3 linked regions of the Ovis aries genome follow. The protein of the gene in region 1 interacts with the protein of each later gene in a pairwise test. Links are inferred from orthologs where the notes say so. Each region holds a gene or a part of one and is shown in the gene's direction. Other genes may lie near its edges.

The links.
Region 2: the proteins of AAMP (region 1) and BHLHE40 interact in a two-hybrid assay, tested with the Homo sapiens proteins (2 studies listed by BioGRID and IntAct). The link is inferred for Ovis aries from reciprocal best matches to the Homo sapiens genes AAMP and BHLHE40.
Region 3: the proteins of AAMP (region 1) and AEN interact in binary tests that used the Homo sapiens proteins (3 or more experiments, as listed by UniProt). The link is inferred for Ovis aries from reciprocal best matches to the Homo sapiens genes AAMP and AEN.

What each region holds. Positions count from the first base shown.
Region 1 is NC_056055.1:220,305,050-220,311,635, reverse strand, and holds the start of AAMP (angio-associated migratory cell protein), read left to right. Parts: upstream 1-2,896; 5' UTR 2,897-2,947; coding exon 2,948-3,068; intron 3,069-3,536; coding exon 3,537-3,692; intron 3,693-4,340; coding exon 4,341-4,460; intron 4,461-4,973; coding exon 4,974-5,113; intron 5,114-5,367; coding exon 5,368-5,512; intron 5,513-5,791; coding exon 5,792-5,875; intron 5,876-5,975; coding exon 5,976-6,091; intron 6,092-6,248; coding exon 6,249-6,352; intron 6,353-6,477; coding exon 6,478-6,568; intron 6,569-6,586. UniProt on the Homo sapiens protein: Plays a role in angiogenesis and cell migration. In smooth muscle cell migration, may act through the RhoA pathway.
Region 2 is NC_056072.1:21,379,836-21,386,349, reverse strand, and holds BHLHE40 (class E basic helix-loop-helix protein 40), read left to right. Parts: upstream 1-2,148; coding exon 2,149-2,228; exon of another isoform or gene 2,229-2,389; coding exon 2,390-2,459; exon of another isoform or gene 2,460-2,721; coding exon 2,722-2,829; intron 2,830-3,833; coding exon 3,834-3,957; intron 3,958-5,239; coding exon 5,240-6,096; downstream 6,097-6,514. UniProt on the Homo sapiens protein: Transcriptional repressor involved in the regulation of the circadian rhythm by negatively regulating the activity of the clock genes and clock-controlled genes.
Region 3 is NC_056071.1:18,976,726-18,983,239, forward strand, and holds the start of AEN (apoptosis-enhancing nuclease), read left to right. Parts: upstream 1-1,972; 5' UTR 1,973-3,782; coding exon 3,783-3,901; intron 3,902-6,323; coding exon 6,324-6,514. UniProt on the Homo sapiens protein: Exonuclease with activity against single- and double-stranded DNA and RNA. Mediates p53-induced apoptosis.

The sequences.
Region 1 (6,586 bases):
TTCTGCCGAGCCTTCATCTGCTTCAAACGGTCCTTGTCCACTTCCCGCTTGGTGAGGATGAAGAGGAGGATACCACAGGGGAAGCCGATGGCCCTAGGGGTGGGGAGATGTGCATGGGATTTGGGGAGGGGCCGAGCCTCAGCCAGAGGAGCTGGGCAGAACCTCATTCCAGCTTCATCAACTGCACCAACACTGTAATACTCCTCGCATCTATTCAGCTTCAGTGCTGGCTGCTGGAAGGCACCGCATGAATCGGATCCTGCCACTGCCCCGCTCAGAACTCCGCAACAGTTCTCCATCACTTCCTGGCCAAGTTCAAACTCCCAGGCACGGCACAAAAGGCCTTGTGGTTGGGTCTTTGCCCACCTGTCACTCCTTTTCCCTTTAGTCTGACACTCCCTAGCATGAACCCTGCCAGCCTGCCGTAACAACTGTGCAGGGTTCTCCAGAAAGCCCAACCTCTTTCCCTCTCCAAGTCCTGGCAAAAATTCCCTCTGCCTAAACCGCCCCACACCCCATCCCTGACTCTCCTTAACCTGAGCAACTGCTATGTGGGAGGCACTTCAGCATGGAGAAAGGGCGTGGAGTTATAAGACCTGGTGAAAACCCAGCTCTGAGCCTCAGTTCCCTCCTCTGTAAAATAGGGATGTCCTATTTATCTCAGAAAGACTAAAACAATACACAGTAAAGGACTGGCACACCTCGGGTGCTGGAAAAAAATATTAATTTCTCCCTGCTTTTAATATTGCTCAAGCCTGGCATGCTCCAGTCCATGGGGTCGCAAAGAGTCAGACATGACCGAGCAACTGAACAACAGTATTAAGATCAGAATCAAATCCAAATAACAATACACTGAACATCTTACTTAAAGGTGCTGCTGCTAACTCGCTTCAGTCGTGTCCGACTCTGTGCGACCCCATAGATGGCAGCCCACCAGGCTCCTCCCTCTCTGGGATTCTCCAGGCAAGAACACTGGAGTGGGTTGCCATTTCCTTCTCCAATGCATAAAAGTGAAAAGTGAAAGTGAAGTCGCTCAGTCGTGTCCGACTCCTAGTAACCCCATGGACTGCAGCCTACCAGGCTCCTCCATTCATGGGATTTGCCAGGCAAAAGTACTGGAGTGTGTTGCCATTGCATTCTCTGACTTATAGGTGCTACTACTGTGTAACTAACATAATCTTGCATGATCTCAATTAAAACCTCAACTGGGTCCTGCCCCAAGCTCCCAAAAGAGAGGATGAGGCCATAGACCCAAATCTGAATCAGATTAGCTCAGCTCAGTGCACAGAAAACCCACTCTCTCTCCAGTTTCACAGACTTTGTCACCTCCCTCCCCTGCTCCAGTCCTCTGAGATTCCAGTCCTCACACCCAGCCATTCTGTCCTGGCAACCCTGGATTCAGTTCATCACCTGAAACTTGGAGAAGTTTCTGGGTCCCCCCCCCCCCCCGCCGCCCCCCGCCCCTGGTGCCACTCCCCATTGGTGGGCAAAGAGTTAGTTAAAACTTACCAGGCTAGTCCCACAGCTTTCATGGGGTTCTTGCCCCTCTTTCTGGGGATGTATTCCAGCTCAGGGGAGAGGGGCTCAGGCTCCTCCTTGCACTCTGGGGAGCTGTGGCTTTGCAGTGCCCGGCTCCTGTTCTGGGAAGCCTTGTTAGCAGTGGCTCCTGAGAGAATCCCTGTGAATGGAGGCAAGGAAGGTCAGTTAAGAGAAGAGGAGAAGAAAGCCTAGGGAGGACTGGTTGAGATCTGAGGAAGGGGAGTGACTGCAATTTGGAGTAACAGGTGCCTGAGAGAGTCCAGAGGGAAATGGGAAAATCGCCATCGAGGTGGCACCTTTGAAAGCCGCTTCCACGTCACTGCAGGCTCATCACCCTAGTGCCGGGAGAGCGAGCTTCGCTGTTCTTCATCTCCTCAGACCTCAGGATGTGAAGGGACTGCAGTGGGGCTCGCGTGAGACGTGTGAAAGAAAATCCGAGAAATGGTTTGCAAACTGCAGAATGTTAGCACTGGAGGGGGAGCTTAAAGGTAGTCTACTCCATCCCCTCATTTTATAGAAGAGGAAACTGAAGCCCCAAGAGACGAACCGCTTCGCCCAAGGTCAAACTGCTAATTATCCGGGGCTAGAACCCAAGCCTCCAGAAGCCCAGGGCCCTTTTCCTCTGCACTGCGGTGAGTGTGAAACACCTGGAGCGCGGGGGTCTAAAAGGCTTCCTTGAGGCTCCCTTTCCGTGCAAGACCCCAGAGGTGTCGTAGGCTGAGGGATGGACTGGTTGACTTTTAAAGAGCACCTTTTAGCCCCCAGACTCTAAAATCCTGCAGAGGGATGCGGGCAACAATCGACAGCCCTGAACTCCTGCTACAGCTTAGCGGGATGTGAAAAAAAAGGGTATCCCCTCCAGTCCCGCCCTCCCCGGGGTCCCTCTCCTTACCCCGGAGAACGCGGGCATTTCTCGCCCCTCGGCCCTTCAGCGCCGTAGCAGCTACCACCGCCGCCATGTTCAGATCCCACCCCCCCTTCACCGCAGTCCCCGCTGGGAATTGTAGTTTGCGTAAGGGGCCTCCCCCGCTGTATCCGTCCGGCCTACAGATCAGAAACTACAACTCCCAGAAGCCCAAGCAGCGTACCCAAGAGAACTACTCTTCCCAGGAGAGCCCGGAAGCGCGCACACTCGCTTGTTTCCCTCCTGTTGGGGGCGGAGTCAGGTCGGGCAGAGTTTGGGTTCTCCTCTCCACGCCTCGGCCTCGTCTCCCGCTTCTGCCCTGTGATTGGTGACTCAGCCGGTCCACCCCTTTCGCTATTGGTCAAGAGGCCGTCGCTCTCCCTGCCGGGGAGTCGCCTACGCCTACTTCCTCCCGGGAGGAGGGGCCCGAGTTCCGCGTCGTCGCGCAGAGCTGACTCTGGGAGGCGTTTGGGCCCAGAGAAGTGGGTCCGCCGCTTGCGCCGCATGGAGTCCGAATCGGAGAGCGGGGCCGCTGCTGACACCCCCCCGTTGGAGACTCTAAGCTTCCATGGTGACGAAGAGATTATCGAGGTGGTAGAACTGGACCCTGGTCCTCCGGACCCGGGTAAGAGCTGCGGATCCTCAGGCCATGGGACAAGAGGCTCTTACCCCTGGCTTTTGACCCCGGCTTTTCCCCCCTCTGCTCCCCACCCCACCCCACCTATCATTCCTACTTACCTCCTTCGCCCTTCCCCTCTCCCCCAGCCCCACACTTAGTTCTCAGGCCTGGCCCGGGGTGGGGGTTCCCCTGACGCCTCCCCTGGCCCTTCCCCTCACACACCCCCTTCCCATCATTCCTTCGGTCCTCCCTTCCCACACGGTCTCTGGCCAACCCCAGATCCTCAGAGCTCTCCGGTCCTTCGTTCCGCACGCCCCCTCCTCCCTGCCGCCTCTCACCCCCTCCCCGCTTCACCCCTCCTGTCTGACCTCACCTTGCCCTCTCGCCACATGACCACCCCAGCCTCGGGCCTCCCCACACTTGCCATCCCTCTTCCCGCCTGCCGCACACCGTCTGTTAACCCTCTCCCCAAAGCAGACGATCTGGTCCAGGAGATGGAAGATGTGGACTTCGAGGAAGAGGAAGAAGAAGAGGGCAATGAGGAGGGCTGGGTCCTGGAACCCCAGGAAGGGGTGGTCGGCAGCATGGAGGGCCCCGACGACAGCGAGGTCACTTTTGCATTGCATTCTGGTAGGTCCCTGGGGAGAGCTGTCCTAAGATCAGTCCAGGTGGACATTAGAACATCATCCGCTGTGTAGCGGTGGGAAAATGTTGCCTTTGTGGTGGAGGAGCTGTTGGCTCCTGGAGTCGGTTGAGACACACTTGGGTTCAAATCCTGTCTCTGCTATTTGGTTGTTTATGATCTTTATTGACGTCTCTAGGCTTTAGTTTCCTTTTAAAAAGTTGTCATTGATAAAAGTTCCTTTACTCTGAATTAGGGATAATAGTACCTTATGGATAAACCTCTTAAATATTAACTTTTGATAAGGAACCAGTAACACAGGCTTTCCTCACTCAGCCCCCAACCTGGTGGCATCCCACTCTGAGAACTGTAAGCCCTACACACGTCCCCTCCTCTTGTCCACCACAGAAGTGTGGGGTGAAGGGAAGAGCGCAGGAGGGTGATGTGTCCTGGGGAGGGACTTAGAATTTGGCAAGCTTGGGGAGGACTTCAACAACTGAATGCTTGAAACTTAGAAGAGCTTGGATGCACTCTTCTTTTCTAGGAAGAAAGACATGTTGCTTTAGGTGGAACGGGGTGGGCTCCCCAAAGGTCCTGAAGGACGGGACCTAGGTGGGATCCCCACTTCCTTACTCTTGGAATATCTCTTGGGACAGCATCAGTGTTCTGTGTGAGCCTGGACCCCAAGACCAACACCTTGGCAGTGACAGGAGGCGAAGACGACAAAGCCTTTGTGTGGAGGCTCAGCGATGGGGAACTGCTCTTTGAGTGTGCAGGTGAGGGGGCTCGATGAAGTCCTGCCTCTTTGGAGGTCTTAGGGGGCTGGCCTGCAGTGGTTGTACATCCAACAGCCATTTATTGACCTCTGTTTTGCCAGCTCTATGCTTATCCCAAGAGCCCCAAAGAATAGCCTAGTCTTTTGTGGGCGTGGGGGAGGGAGACGCTGATTGGCCAAGGGAGTCAGGGAAAGAGTTGGAGGAGGCGGCACTAGTGACGGAGAATGGGGGTGGGAAGGAGGCTGTGGATATTTCAGGCAGAGGTGTGATGTGGACAGAATGGGGAAGACATAAGTCTGGGCTACACACGGTCAAGTGGGGGCCCAGCAGTGTCTTGCCTGGGGAGAGCTGGGGGTGTTGGCCTCTGCAGCAGCTCTGAGTTTGGTTACCTGTTCTGTGGGGACTCATCCTGTTTTTCCAAGCTGGTACTTTCTGGGGGCTGGACACCTGGGTCCTGTATCCCCAGCACCAGGTACCCCGACATTCTCTTCTCTTTCTGCTCACTCTCTGCAGGCCATAAAGACTCCGTGACTTGTGCTGGTTTCAGCCATGACTCTACCCTAGTGGCCACAGGAGACATGAGTGGTCTCTTAAAAGTGTGGCAGGTGGACACAAAGGAGGAGGTCTGGTCGTTTGAAGCAGGAGATCTAGAGGTGAGACTGTCACAGTAGGATTCAACTCTGAGGGCCGAGTGGAGTGGGGAGAGCTCAGGGGCCCATGCCACCTTGAACGGATCAAGCCAGCTCTGAGCCAGTGCTCTCCCAGAGGATAGCAGGAGTGTCTGGGCCCGTCACCTGGGATGTCCCCACTGACTCGGTAGCAGGGAGAGCTTGGTGGAGTTCCGGGGGCAGGCTTCTAGGCAAGATGGGGTAGGGGGTACCCCTGTTGAGCCTTTGTCTCTGCCCAGTGGATGGAGTGGCACCCTCGGGCACCTGTCCTCCTGGCGGGCACGGCTGATGGCAACACCTGGATGTGGAAGGTTCCGACTGGTGACTGCAAGACCTTCCAGGGCCCCAACTGCCCGGCCACCTGTGGCCGAGTCCTCCCTGATGGTGAGAGTGGCATTCCTGAGTGTGGACACGTGGGGTCTGGGTTCCATACCTTCCTGGCACCCTCCTGGGCCATGGTCAGCAAACTCCGAGGTCTGCTGTTGGGAGCAGGGACCTCCCAGGACCAGAGCAAACAGCTCCCCCTTTCTCACCCGGAACTGGGCCTTCCTTGGGGCACTGTCTGCTCCCTCGCTTCCTTGTCTGCCTCCCTCTTCTCTTGCCTGATGTGCTGATGTGTCTGTGCTGGTTGTCTACTCTTCACCTGCATCTCTGATCCTTTAGGGAAGCGTGCTGTAGTTGGTTATGAAGATGGCACCATCAGGATTTGGGACCTGAAGCAGGGAAACCCTATCCACGTACTAAAAGGTATCGGAGGTGGGGAAGGTGTTAACCTAGGCCTTTGTGGGGAAAGGGCCGAGACCTGGGTCAAGATGAAGCCTGACTTTTCCTCCCTGCTTCATCCTAGGGACCGAGGGTCACCAGGGCCCTCTGACCTGTGTCGCCACCAACCAGGATGGCAGCCTGATCCTCACTGGCTCTGTAGACTGCCAGGCCAAGCTGGTCAGTGCCACCACTGGCAAGGTGAGTGGGACCTGGAAGTCTGGCTGTGGGGCCCTCTGCTTTCTGCGTCTCCGTTTCTTCTTTTTTTTCACTCAGCCTCCTCACCCCAGTGGTTTTCTTCTCTTACTGGAGAATCACGTTTCCAGGCCCTCTTCTGATCCTGTCCTCTGGCTCATAGGTGGTGGGCGTTTTCAGACCCGAGACTGTGGCCTCCCAGCCGAACCTGGGAGAAGGGGAGGAGAGTGAGTCCAACTCTGTGGAGTCCTTGGGCTTCTGCAGTGTGTGAGTGTGAGCGCGGCCTCAGCCTGGGCACACGGGCTTGGGGGAGGGGGGTGGAGGGCCAGAGAGGACAGAGGCACCAAGTGCAGGTCCCCCCACGAGCCTTCGTGATGCTCTCTTCTGCCCAGGATGCCTCTGGCAGCTGTTGGCTACCTGGATGGGACCTTGGCCATCTATGACTTGTCCACACAGACCCTTAGGCACCAGTGTCAGCACCAGGTACAGGCTGTGGGGCAG
Region 2 (6,514 bases), on another chromosome or scaffold:
TAGTCATGAATTTCCACTGGCTCCCTCCTCTGACAGCATCAGCGCTGCTCACAGAGCGGGCTTGGAGTTTCAGCTGTTTTCCCTGCTCCAGGCAGAGTTAGAAGGTCACAGAGGCCGGACTTTTCCGGGGGAGTGGGTGGGGGCCTCGGGCGGCCTCAGAGAGATTGCAGAGATCTGGAGCCGCTTGGAGGAGGCCCTTCTGCCCCAGGCTCCGGGCGATGGGTTAACGTCTCCCCTCTCCTCCTCTGCCCAGATATTGTGGTTCACATTAAATTTTTAAAAATAATTTTTTTTAATACCAAAAAAATTTTTTTAAGCCCACACTTTCTATCTTATCTTCTCCCTTCTCTTCACCAGCAGCACCGATACAATTTTCCCAGTACTGCCTTCCCCTCATTTCCCAGGGTAAGCCCTCCTCAGAGGTTCCTGTGAATTCAAGAGCAGCATCTGTGTTCCATTCACCTACAGTGTATCTGGCAGCGTATCTAAGCACAACGCCGGGCACAGGGTAGGGGGCTCAACCAACACTTGTCGAGTGAATGAACGCTAAGACGTCAGCGTGATGGGCAGTTTTTCCAAGTCTCTCTTTTCCATCCTGCCCCGGCTGCAGACCGCACACTGCGCCGCAGAAGTCCCCGGCAGGGGGAGATGGACGACCCCGACCCCCGGGAGCTCCTGTGCTCGGGGGTCTTGGTCCCCGGCCAGGGCAGAAGGGCGCTCTGTCAGGAGCTCTGCGGCCCAAGCCCAGGCCAGGTGAAGTGTCACGCCCCGCGCTGCCGCAGGGCAAGCGCCGCTGCCGCGGTTGTGTAACGTTGCAGCCCAAGGGGAGGGGACCCGGGCGCCTCTGCTCCAGTGGGGGCAGAGGAGGGAGGAAACGCAGGGCACCGCGCCCGGTCTCTTTCTGTGCTTGATCAGCCTAAGTGTGGGCCGGGGAGGGGGGTGGGGGCACTGGGGCACCCTGGGGGGTGCGCAAGTGAGTGTCCGCCGGCACGCAGACTGCGCCCCGGGAGCACAGCTCCAAAGGAGCCAGGGACCGCGGCGCACAGCCTAGCGGGTCAGGTGCGCGCAGCGTGCTCCGCGGCGGCCTCGCCTGCCCCTGCGCTTGGCTGCCAGCCCGCTTCCCATGGGGTGACATCCGCCCCGCCCTCCTCGGCCCCTCCCCACGGCGGGCGATTCCTGGACTCGGGGCCGAGGGGTGGGGGCAGGGAAGCCGGCGCGGAAAGAAACCCCAGCCTCTGGGGAAGGCAGGGGGGCCGGGCGACTCCCTCTGCTGCGCGCTGGTTCCTCCGAGCGGGCGCGCGGGGGGAGGAGGAGGAAGAGGGTTGGGCTGGAGCGAGCGAGGGGATATTCCTCTCCCGGCTTGAGTCAGACGCGGGCGGATCCGTCCTCCCCCGTTCCCTCCCAGGAGACGGGAACTTACTTCATTTCCCTGGGGCAGGTTCGCCCACGTTACCAACCTCCCCCCACCACCTCCCCGGCTCCCTAGCCCCTTCCAGCTTCCGCGCCCCTCGCCCAGCTAGGCAGGACCCAGACTGCCCTGCCAACCCCCTCTTCGGGGAAAGGCAGCCGCAGACACCTGGGGGCCGGGGCTGGGGGGTGGGGGCTCCCTCGCAGCCGCGGGAGCGTTGTCCAACACGTGAGACTCATGTGATGAAGCCGGGGGAGGGCGGGCAGGTCGCTCCTTCCCTCCCCGGCAGCGGCCAGACGTGCCTGGAGTCACAGGGTAGAACACGTAGCTCCAACCCACCCACTCGCTCCCATTTAACCCAGCCCGCAGCCTCTCCATTACTCCTCGGCTCTCCCCCACCATCCCCCCCCCCACTCCGCCCTAACCGCACCCCCCCTCCCTCCCGCCTCCCCGCCCGCCCCACTTCTCATTCACTTGGCTCGCACCGTGCAGACGGCACTGGGAGCACACACCGCCAGTCTGTGCGCAGAGCCGGAGCCAGAGGCCGCGGGTACACCATGCACGCCCCCAACTGAAGCAGCACCTCAAAGCCGCAGCTCTTCGCAGCCCAGCGGATTTCAGAGAGCTCTGACTCAGTGGAAGCCCTGCGGAGAGACCCCCGAAACCTCCTCCACGACAGTCCTCACCCGACGCTCCGCCACTGCAGACAGGAGCGCAGAGTGGCCCCGGCTCGCAGCGCAATGGAGCGGATCCCCAGCGCGCAACCGCCCCCCACTTGCCTGCCCAAAGCGCCAGGACTGGAGCCCGGAGACCTACCAGGGTAAGTTGGCACCCCTGGCCCCTTCAAGCCTCAACTCCAGTCCTGCCTTCTACGCGGCTTTCAACTCCAAGTAGTTCTGGGTGCATCCGGGGGTTCTTGCCAGTCAGGGCTCCTGCAACCGATGCGCAAGTCATGACCCTTCCTCGTCCCTCTCCCTGCAGGATGGATTTTGCCCATATGTACCAAGTGTACAAGTCGAGGCGGGGAATAAAGCGGAGCGAGGACAGCAAGGTAAGAGCACCGCGCCCCTGTGGACCCCAGGCCCTCGCACGCGCTGAGTTTCCAATAAAAGTTTTCTCACTTTAACGTTGGAGGGAGGTATGCAAGGTGTGGGCCCTGTGCCTCTACTGAGTGGCTTGGAGAAGAAGGGGCAGATAGGGTTCTGGGTGTGACTCTGCTCCACTGCCGAGACTCTTCTGCCGCGGGGTGGGAAAGGAGAAGCGCTTCTCACCTCCTTCCTCCCGCGCCCACCATCTCTCCGTGCGCTTTGCAGGAAACCTACAAACTGCCGCACCGGCTCATCGAGAAAAAGAGACGTGACCGGATTAACGAGTGCATCGCCCAGCTGAAGGATCTCCTCCCCGAACATCTCAAACTTACAGTAAGTGAGAAGCTGGCCCCTCTCCAAACCAGCTCCTCTGCCCAGAGGGCGGGCGAGGGTCACCCGCCGCCTGCAGGCTCCGCCAGGAACTGCAGACCAGATGGCTGGATCCTAGCTAGTGGCTGGCTCTGTTTGGGGGTACCCTTCTCCAGTCTCAGAATTTTCTGGCAACCTCGTGCAAATAAGATAAGAATCATTTGTACTTGTCCAGCTTGGCACCAACACCAGCCGGCCTTCCTTTGCTAGAGTTTAAGGTGATTCTCCGGGTTCTCCTTTTCTCACATTGAGCAAATCCAGCAACCCACTTTTTTTTTTTACCCCCTTCCCCACATCCCTTTTTAAAATAAGAGGACTTGTTTTGATGTGTCTTTTTTTTTTTTTTTTTTACGTCCTGTCCTTTCTTGGCGATTGTCAATAGCTTACTAGATTGGCAACCTTTGGTTGGGGAAAGAAGAGAAAAATAGTATTTAGGAGAAAATAGTATTTAGGAAGGAACAAAAAAGCGTAGATGAGCTAGAAGTTATGACAGGGTGTCAGGAAAGAAACTAGGGAAAGCCTCTTGGCTGCCAGACACAGTAGAAGTCTCTACTAGGGTTGACACCACTGCAGAGAAATGTTATCTCTGGATTCCCCTGAGTTAAGGTCAGCAACGGCTGCTGGAAAAATTTATCTGTCAAAGCTTTCTCCTGAGCTAGCTGCTGCTTCCAAAATGCCTCCAAAGATGGGGTACACTTGTTTGCTGTCCTCTAATCAAAAATATATGCATATATACATATTTTTAAACATCATCTATAAACTTAAAACTTAATTTAGCCAACCAGGAACAGACCTTTTTATCCCCCTTTAGAGACATTCGGTGGTGGTGGTTTAGTCGCTTAGTGGTGTCTGACTCTTGCGACCCCATGAAGTGTAGCCCAGGCGACTGATGAATCTCATGGCTAATTAGTATCCCAGAGGTGGGACTTCTCTGAGCTCACTGCTGACGGAGGCTCTTTTTATTCCAGACTTTGGGTCACTTGGAAAAAGCAGTGGTTCTTGAACTTACCTTGAAGCATGTGAAAGCATTAACAAACCTAATTGATCAACAACAGCAGAAAATCATTGCCCTGCAGAGCGGTCTGCAAGCTGGTGAGTACCATGTTTGGCTATCATCTCCTTAGAGTTCTAGCACAAATAGAGAGCCTGTAAGCTCAACATCTGGTGTAAGAAACATTCCCGCAACAAATTGCTTATGCATGTTAGTTGGGGGAGATGCTGTTTTATCTTTCCTAAAAGGTCAGACTTTTCATTTGGAATGCTGCTGTGTGCCACCTGGCATGAATACATATTAGTCAAATGGTAAAATATTTCTGTGGCATTTTGGCTTAAGAGTTTCTGGGGTTCTGGGAGTCCCCTCCACTTTGAAAATGCCAAGGCACCTATAATTTGCATCGTGGGTGTTTTACAGTTGTTTTCCTTAGCCCTGTTTCATTGGAGAATAAATCATGGGTATGCCCCAGTGTTTTAATGTTTCTCCACTTCCTTATCCCTCGGTGTGTGGTATGAGCCTGGCAAGATGACAGCAGTAGTTTTTCCTGCATTTCATGTGGTTCCCTGAATAGCCACTAGGTATCTCGGTGAATTACACAATCTAACGAAACCACTGAAGTTTCATCACCCATTTCTACGGACTTCCAGAGAATCACAGTCATCTAACCGTCTGGTCTCACCCATTCCAAATAATACTGTACAAACGAGGGAGAAATTCCTCTACCCACTCCCTCGTTCTTCTCTCCTCTCCTCTCCAAACCAGGACAATGAGGAAGTCGTTCTGCCAGTTGCCTCATTGAAAACAGAAAGATGGTCATACCTAACTTCCTGGGGATCATGGATACACTATATGAGAAAAACCTAGAAATAGCCTTTAAATATAGCAGCATGACTGCAACTTGTATAAGCCATTGAAAATAAGCGTACTTTAGGTGACGTGGTTCCTTCATTCTCATTTTTTGACTGGTCACTGTCCATCTCACTATGGTAAGATGATGTTCTGTAAATTGACTCTGGTTATGAGCACACTAGGATGATTATGGCTGTGTTACTTATAACGAAAACTCAAGAATTCCTTAGAAATGCAACAAGAGGGGAAACCGTCTGTCTCTGTCAAATGTGGTCTATGCCTATGATATTACACAGCCATTACAAATCATATTTTATCTCTGAGAGGTAGAATTATGGATGATTTTTAGTTTAATCTTTATACTTTTCAGTGTAATTCAAATTTCCCCTGATCATATTACTCTTGGAGTTAGAAATACAATCAGCAAATGCTATTAACAAAAAGGAAAGCCCCGGGGTCTTTGGAACCTAGGTATCCATGTGAACCACAGCGCCTTCTGAAATGTCTCTCTTTGCATCTGTGTTGATCCAGGTGATCTGTCGGGAAGAAATGTGGAGGCAGGCCAAGAGATGTTCTGCTCAGGTTTCCAGACATGTGCCCGGGAGGTGCTTCAGTACCTGGCCAAGCATGAGAATACTCGGGACCTGAAATCTTCACAGCTTGTCACCCACCTCCACCGTGTGGTCTCCGAGCTTCTACAGGGCGGTACTTCCAGGAAGCCGTCAGACCCAGCCCCCAAAGCAATGGACTTCAAGGAGAAACCCAGCTCCCTGGCCAAAGGCTCCGAAGGCCCAGGCAAAAACTGTGTGCCAGTCATCCAGCGAACTTTCGCCCACTCGAGTGGCGAGCAGAGTGGCAGTGATACGGACACAGACAGCGGCTACGGAGGAGAATCGGAGAAGAGTGAGCTGCGTGTCGAGCAGCCGTACTTCAAAAGCGATCATGGACGCAGATTCACCATGGGAGAAAGGATCAGTGCTATTAAGCAAGAATCCGAAGAACCCCCCATGAAAAAGAGCAGAATGCAGCTCTCTGATGATGAAGGCCCTTTCACTAGCACTGACCTGATCAGCTCCCCGTTCCTGGGCCCACACCCGCACCAGCCTCCGTTCTGCCTGCCCTTCTACCTGATCCCACCGTCAGCAACTGCCTACTTGCCCATGCTGGAGAAGTGCTGGTACCCCACGTCTGTCCCAGTGTTATACCCGGGCCTCAACGCCTCTGCCGCAGCCCTCAGCAGCTTCATGAACCCAGACAAGATCTCGGCCCCCTTGCTTATGCCCCAGAGACTCCCTTCTCCCCTGCCCTCCCATCCTGCCATCGACTCTTCTGCCCTGCTCCAAGCTCTGAAGCAGATCCCCCCTTTAAACTTAGAAACCAAAGACTAAACTATTTAGGGGATCCTGCTGCTTCACTTTCCTTCCTCCCTACTTCCAAAAAAAAAAAAAATGTGTTTGTGAGTGCAGCGAGATTGTTTCAGTGTGTATGCCAAGATCATCTGAGGCAGGGAGAGAAGATTCAGGTGTGTGTGTGTATGTGTGTGTGTGTGTGTGTGCGTGTGCGCGCGTGCGTGCCTGACTATGCATTGTGTGTTGGTATGGGACGTTAAAGCTCCTTTGGGCGTAGGGAACTTGTGAAGGATTGCCTGACATCAGGAGACTTAGGGGGGATTGTCTCAGACCTCTGGGCCTTTCCCTCCCAGAGAGTAGCCCCTTCTGATATAAAGCAGCTGAATTTCCAAAAGCTGCAAAGTCTTGGTCTGTGAGTCAGTCTCCACTTTGGGAGCTGGGTCTGTGGCTTTGAGAA
Region 3 (6,514 bases), on another chromosome or scaffold:
AATAGACTGGTAGAAGGGTTTCTTGCCAGTCCTGGATCATAGCCCGTTGTTGTTGCTGTTCAGTTGCTGAGTTGTGTCCAGCTCTCTTGTGACCCCATGTAGCCTACCAGACTCCTCTGTCTATAAGATTTCCCAGCAAGAATACTGAAGTGGGTTGCCATTTCTCTCTCCAGGGGATCTTCCTGATCCAGGTATAGAACTCATGTCTTCTGCTTGGCAGATGATTCCTTACTGCTGAGCCACTTGGGAAACCCAATTCATATTCAGAATTGGGAGACTCCTTTATTCCTAGGGCAATGTTGCAGAGCAAAGTTTAGACTGGGTGTGTGTCTGTGACTTTCCTTTGTAAAGTGGGAGACAGCTGGTTATACAAGGGGAGAGGGAAGCTGGACTTCAAAGACTCCAGTTCCATTCCCAGGTCTAGTCCCACAGGAGTCGAGGTTCTGGTAACTGACTCTCTTGAACCCCTTCCTGTCCCCAGAGTTGCCTCTGACAAAGTCACCTTGTCTGAAAACAGCTACTCTGCATTCCTTCCCTTCTCTGTCCTCTCAACGCTGCCTCCTAAGGAGCTCAGGAATCTGTCCCAGGCTGTTTATCCTCCCTACCTAGCACTCTGGTTGGTCTTCCCACATGGTGCAGTGGTAAAGAATCTGCCTGCCAAGGCAGGAACACAAGAGATGCAGGTTTGATCCCTGTGTCGGCAAGATCTCTGGAGAAGGAAATGGCAACCCACTCCAGTATTCTTGCCTGGGAAACCCTGTGGACAGAGGAGCTGGTGGGTTACCGTCTACGGGTTGCAAAGAGTCAAACACAGCTGAGCAGGCACACACACGTGCACCACTTTGGCCATTAGGATCTTATCCTGCCGTAGTGTCCACAGTCACCTGCTCCCACTCCTTTTTCTCCAGGCATGGCCCATTCCTCTCATACTGCAGCCAGGGTGAGCTCCCCCAAATGTAGATCTGCTGGTGAACCAGCTCTGGCTGAAACTCTTTCCATCTCCTCCAAACCATCAAGAATCTGAGTAGGAATGCTTATCTCTCCAGCGGCCTTATCCTTTGTCCTGCTTCCCTTAAATCTATATTCTGGTCAGAAATAGGCCCAGGTACCTCTGACCCTCTCGTTACCTTGCGATGGCACTGCTGCTTGCAAAATGGAGCTAGAAGGAATCTGACTTCATAGGTAAGGGTCTTGGTTTGGATTTGAGCTGTTTTTCCTTAATTTCTTTAAATGTCAGTCTCCCTAATTGTGAAACAGAGATAATATCTCAAAGAGTTCCTCAGACTAAACAGGTGTTTTGCCTGGCATACTGTTAATGCTCAATAATAAATGCAAGCTCTTTATTATTGTTTTTATTACTCACGTTGCAGTAAGTTAGCTGTTAACTTCTGTTACTGTGCCAAACTGTGAGCAACTAGAATCTCCACCAACGAAGCTTATTCTATGTATCCCACTGCGGAGCCCATGGCAGGAACGTATTACTTATGAATAAAGTACTGCAAAAGGACCAATGAAAAAAATTGCTCCGAAGAAGCAATCCTAATTTTAAAAAATCTTTCTTTAGTGCTTATCAGGTGTATTACTCTTTCACCCAGTCTCCTCAACCCTGGAGGAGGAAGGGGCCAACTTTTTCAAATGTGGGTGTGTACACAGTAAGTCATTCTGCTTTTAGTGGCACGGAGCTCATAAGAGTCCACATCCTCACCCAGGGAGGGGGATGAATTGGAGCCTGGGGACCTAGGTGGGAGCGGACCCTGGCGAGAAAAGAGGCCACAGTCCCCTCCAGTCGGCTTTAAAATTTTCCGCGGGTGGGGCCCGCCTGGGCACAAACCACGCCCCTCTTGGAGTCCCCGCCCCTTATGCGCCCAGTGCCAACCGGCAGCCAGCCAGGCTTCCGACCAATCAGAAAAGGCCTTAGGCGGGAGCTGCCGTCCAGCTAGCCAATAGGCGGGCGGCCGCAGCGGGCTTGCCCGGGCGTGTAGCGGCTGCCGGCTGCCTGGACGCCACGTGCTGGCGTGAGGGGACTCGTGGGGCTTTCAGGTGATCTCGGGGACCCTGCCGGGGATCTCGGGGTGGGGCTGGCTGGCGCGACATGTCCAGGCCGCGGAGGGCCCCCGCGAGGTGTGTCCGCCCCCGACTTGTGGCCGGGGACTCCCGGCCGGGCCGGCTCTGCTCCCGGGGCCCCGGGAGTGCAGGCCCGGCCCGGGGCGCCTCTTGGCCCGCATCGCGCCCTGCTCTAGGGTCTCGGGTCTGAGTGGGTGGCGCTGGGCAGTGGGGCCGGGCCTGGTGGGCGTTGGCCGGGCAACCGCGACCCCTGAGTGACCAGTGCTTCAGTCCCTCCCTGGTGAGGCCGGGCCGCCCGCAAGTCACTCCCCGGAAAGCCGGCGGCCATGGGAGACTGAGCAGGATCTCCTCGGACTTTCTTGTCTCATTTTAACTTTTCAGCAGCACAGGGGATCTCATCGAGCCGGCTTTTCTCAAATTCCGGCGATTATTAGTGTCCTGTTGCGGGGGGCGGGGCCGCGCAGTCTGAAATAGATTCGAGGGCCCTTTTCCCCAAATGGCAGTTGAGAAGGTGTGGGGGTAGGCTTGGAAATCAGACTTTTTAAACAGACTTCTTAATTGTTTCTGATAATGAGCTGCTTTTTGGAGGTGGGTTGCCTGGAGAATCCCAGGGATGGGGGAGCCTGGTGGGCTGCCGTCTTGGGGTCGCACAGAGTCGGGAACGACTGAAGTGACTTAGCAGCAGCAGCAGCAGCAACCTAGTTCGACGCTGGGTTTAATAAACCCTAGTTTTAAGTTAGGTCAGCCATCCCCAACTTTTATTGGCACCAGGGACCGGTTTGGAAGACAAATTTTCCCATGGACTGGGAAGGCAGGGTGGATGGTTTCTGGATAATTCAAGTGCCTTATGGTTCTTTCTCATTTAATGGGGCTGCTGATCTGACAGGAGGTACTGGTCTGTGGCCCAGAGGTTGGGGACCCCTGAGTTAGGAGACAGTGTCTTGGTCCTGTTCATCTAGCTCTTTAGTGCCAGAGCAGGGTCTAGACTGCCCATCTTCCTGATAGCCCACAAGTTGGTGGCCCTGAGGCCACTGGCGATTCTGACTTTGGAGTTCCTTTGCCCAAAGGCCTGTTGGCTGCTGATTCAGATGTTGGTTCTGGGCGGGAGAGAGATTTGTTTGCTTCACTGAAACATTTGTTGTTTGAGCGAAGCTTCTGCCTAGCTTCACTGAGCTCCGTGTGGCAGCCCAAGATGAGGACTGTGTGCTCTTGATGATTAACTGTTGGTTCTGATGTGTCAGCTAAGTCAGGACATGTAGAAGAGGACTGCTTTCATTTCTTGGAACAAAGAGCCCCGAGACCTTTTTTCCCCCCTCCTCCATGTGGCTCTGCGACCCCACGGACCTCCAGGCTCCTCTGTCCGTGGGATTTCCCAGGCAAGGATAACTGGAATGAGTTGCCATTTCCTTCTCCAGGAGATCTTTCCAACCCAGGGATCCTGCATCTCCTGCATTGGCAGGTGAATTCTTTACCACCATGCCACCAATTTCTGGCCTCTTTGAAACTTTGTCAACAGGTTTAGGGAGGCCATCGACCCTAGTCCAGGCCTCCTGACCTTGCAGGGTCCTTGGCCATCTCAGAGAAGGACAAGGTCCCTCCTCCCCTACAGAAGGCAGTTATTAGCGGCTCTCTGTCTTCTTAGACCTCATTCTCCCCATTACTGGGCCAAGGCAAGTTGAGGTTCTGTATCTGTCAGCCTCAGTAGGTGACTTGTGAATATGAAGGTGATTATAGTTGAGAGCCCCTTTAAAAAGGAGAAGGGTTCTCGGGGGAAGGGATCAGGAAGCAGAGGGAGGATGTCATGGAGACTCCTGTCTGGCCCAGGCATCACCGCATGGTAGGTAGTTCATCTCTCCTCCCATTTCTCTTAATCTCTGCTGCCCTTGTGCAGAGTCCTATGTTCTTTCTCCAACTCTCTTCCTTTAAGGCAATTGTGATCCTGTCCCTCTCTCCCTAAAACTCTGGAGATTGATGGTTCCCACCTACCTTTGGATGAAGCCCCAACTTTGACTTTTCTCCAGGGACAGTTCTCCCTGACTATCCCCGTCTCCTCGCCCCTACCTCCTTTCTTTCCAGTTGCTGCATCCAAATCCTTGCTTTCCCACCATGAGTCTGTCCTGCCTCTTGGACTTTGTGTCCATGTTTTTTCCTGTCTGCATGCCCTTCCCTTCCTGGGCTGACTGGTAGACCTTTCTGAAACCCTTCAAAGTATCTCCTCCACTGCCAGGCCTTCTCTAACTTAGCGCTTCTGCTTTTTAAATACCTGGCCTGATGACAGTCATGGGTCCTTCCATATATTTATGTGTGTGTGTGGGTGTATGCAGGGGGTTTATAATATATACATAAAATAAATGTAAATATGTAGCGTAATGGGGATTTGGCCGCAATAAAAATATATACTAACCAGTTGAAAGCCTAGGATACGACACTGTACTGACTCCACAGAAAATCCCTTTGATACTATGAAGAATAGTTGATTCAGGAGTTAAGAATGAGCAGCTCAATTTTAATCAGATGTACTAGGAAACAGCATTTTCATGAATACAGTTGCAATTAAAATTGGTCACCTATAAAGATTTTAAAGGCTATATCAAAGTATACAGTCTAGATGAAAGATGGATTAATGAACCAGGAGACTGAAATAATGGGGTGGGGAAGGGAAGGATTGGGAGTTTGGGATTAGCAAATGCAAATTATTACAAATAGGATGGATAAACAAGTATAGATAGCACTGCTGCTGCTGCTTAGATGCTCAGTCATGTCCAACTCTTTGTGACCCCATGGACTACAGCACGCCAGGTTCCTCTGTCCATGGGATTTTCCTGGCAATAATACTGGAGTGGGTTGCCATGCCCTCCTCCAGGGGATCTTCAGGACCAAGGGATAGAACCCTCGCCTCCTGCATTGCAGGTGGATTTTTTTTAATCACTGACCCACTGGGGAAGCCCCCTGTATAGCGCAGGGAACTATATTCAATATCCTGTGATAAATCATAATGGAAAAGCACATGAAAAGGAATATTTGTGTGTGTAACTGATCACTTTGTTATACAGCTGAAGTTAATAGCAACACTGTAAATCAGTTATACTCCAGTAACTTTTAAAATAATAATAATTTTTAAAAATACACATGGATTTTACCATTTCCTATTCACAAGGGAAGGGTGGGTTTACATGCAAAGAACCTGAATTGGTTAGGTACTTATTCTGAGCTGAGTTAGTCCCTGCTCTGACTACTTCAAAGCGCTGGTTTTGTGGTCTGTTCAAAATCTACCAGCTGACTTATGACTTAGCACAGCAAATGAGATGAGGCTTCCCAAGCTGCATCCTTGACGATTTGGAAGATGCCAGTCTTTGCATGGGGTTTGTAAACCCACAGGAGCAAACAGCTGTTTCCTGTGACCATGGTGTGTGACAGCATCTCCTGTCAACCCAGCGTTCAGGCATGGAGAGCGTGGAGGAGGGACCACGGAAGTCTACAGCACTGTACATCAGGGCTCTTTTCTGTTTCTCCTGTTTAGATTTGAGCTGGTTTACCAGCACACACCTATGCCTGTAGGCCTCCATGATTACACTACAAAGTCCAACTATGTTAAATGTTTGTAGACAGTGTTATGACGAGTGAATTAGAAAGTCAGTTGATAGATATGTCATTTTGGTTAACACATATCAAAAATACAACTGTTGTGGGCTTCCTGTGAGATAGTTTCTCTAGGTTCTACTGTGGGTAGGAAAGGTTCTACCTTTACACTGCATAAAGCTTTTGTTTGTTTATCCAAAATGGGATTTCGTATATATGTAACATCTCTGTAATCTTTATTTTCTCATTTTGTTTATTTTCTCTTAAACCTCTCTAAAAGTTTTTCATAATTTTTAGTTTAAGCTAACAATGTTGGAGGTAGGCTATGGTGTGGAATTTGAAAGCCTGGGTTCTGGGTTCACATCAGCCTTTGTCTGTTTATTAATTGGATGAATTACTAAGCCTTCATGCCTCACCTTTCGCACCTACAACATGGGGATAATAATACCTTTCTGAGTTGTGGGAAAGATTGAGTGATTCCATGTAAAGTACTTAAGACAGTGATTTTGCAGGTGATGTTGACCCTATGAGTGCAGTTATCATTAAAGCAGGTCCTTGGCTTTGTCTGGGGTCTTGAGACACTGTACAGCAGTTGCGCACTGGCTGGAGGGAGCGGGTGGGGGGGCAGGGCTGGCCGGGCCTGTTCCTCACCCTGCCCCTCTGCCCTGTTTCTCTCCCAGGCTGCTGCCCTGTTGGCAGATCACCTCCCAGGCCTCCCTGGCCCTGAGTGGTGCACAGATGGGGATGGTACCCCAGGAAGCTCCTGAGTCAGTGCAGTGCCTGAGCCCTTCCCTGGCCAGCCGGAATGCCAAGGATGTGCTTCGGAGGAAGCACAAGAGGAAGAGCCGACAGCACCAGCGCTTCATGGCCC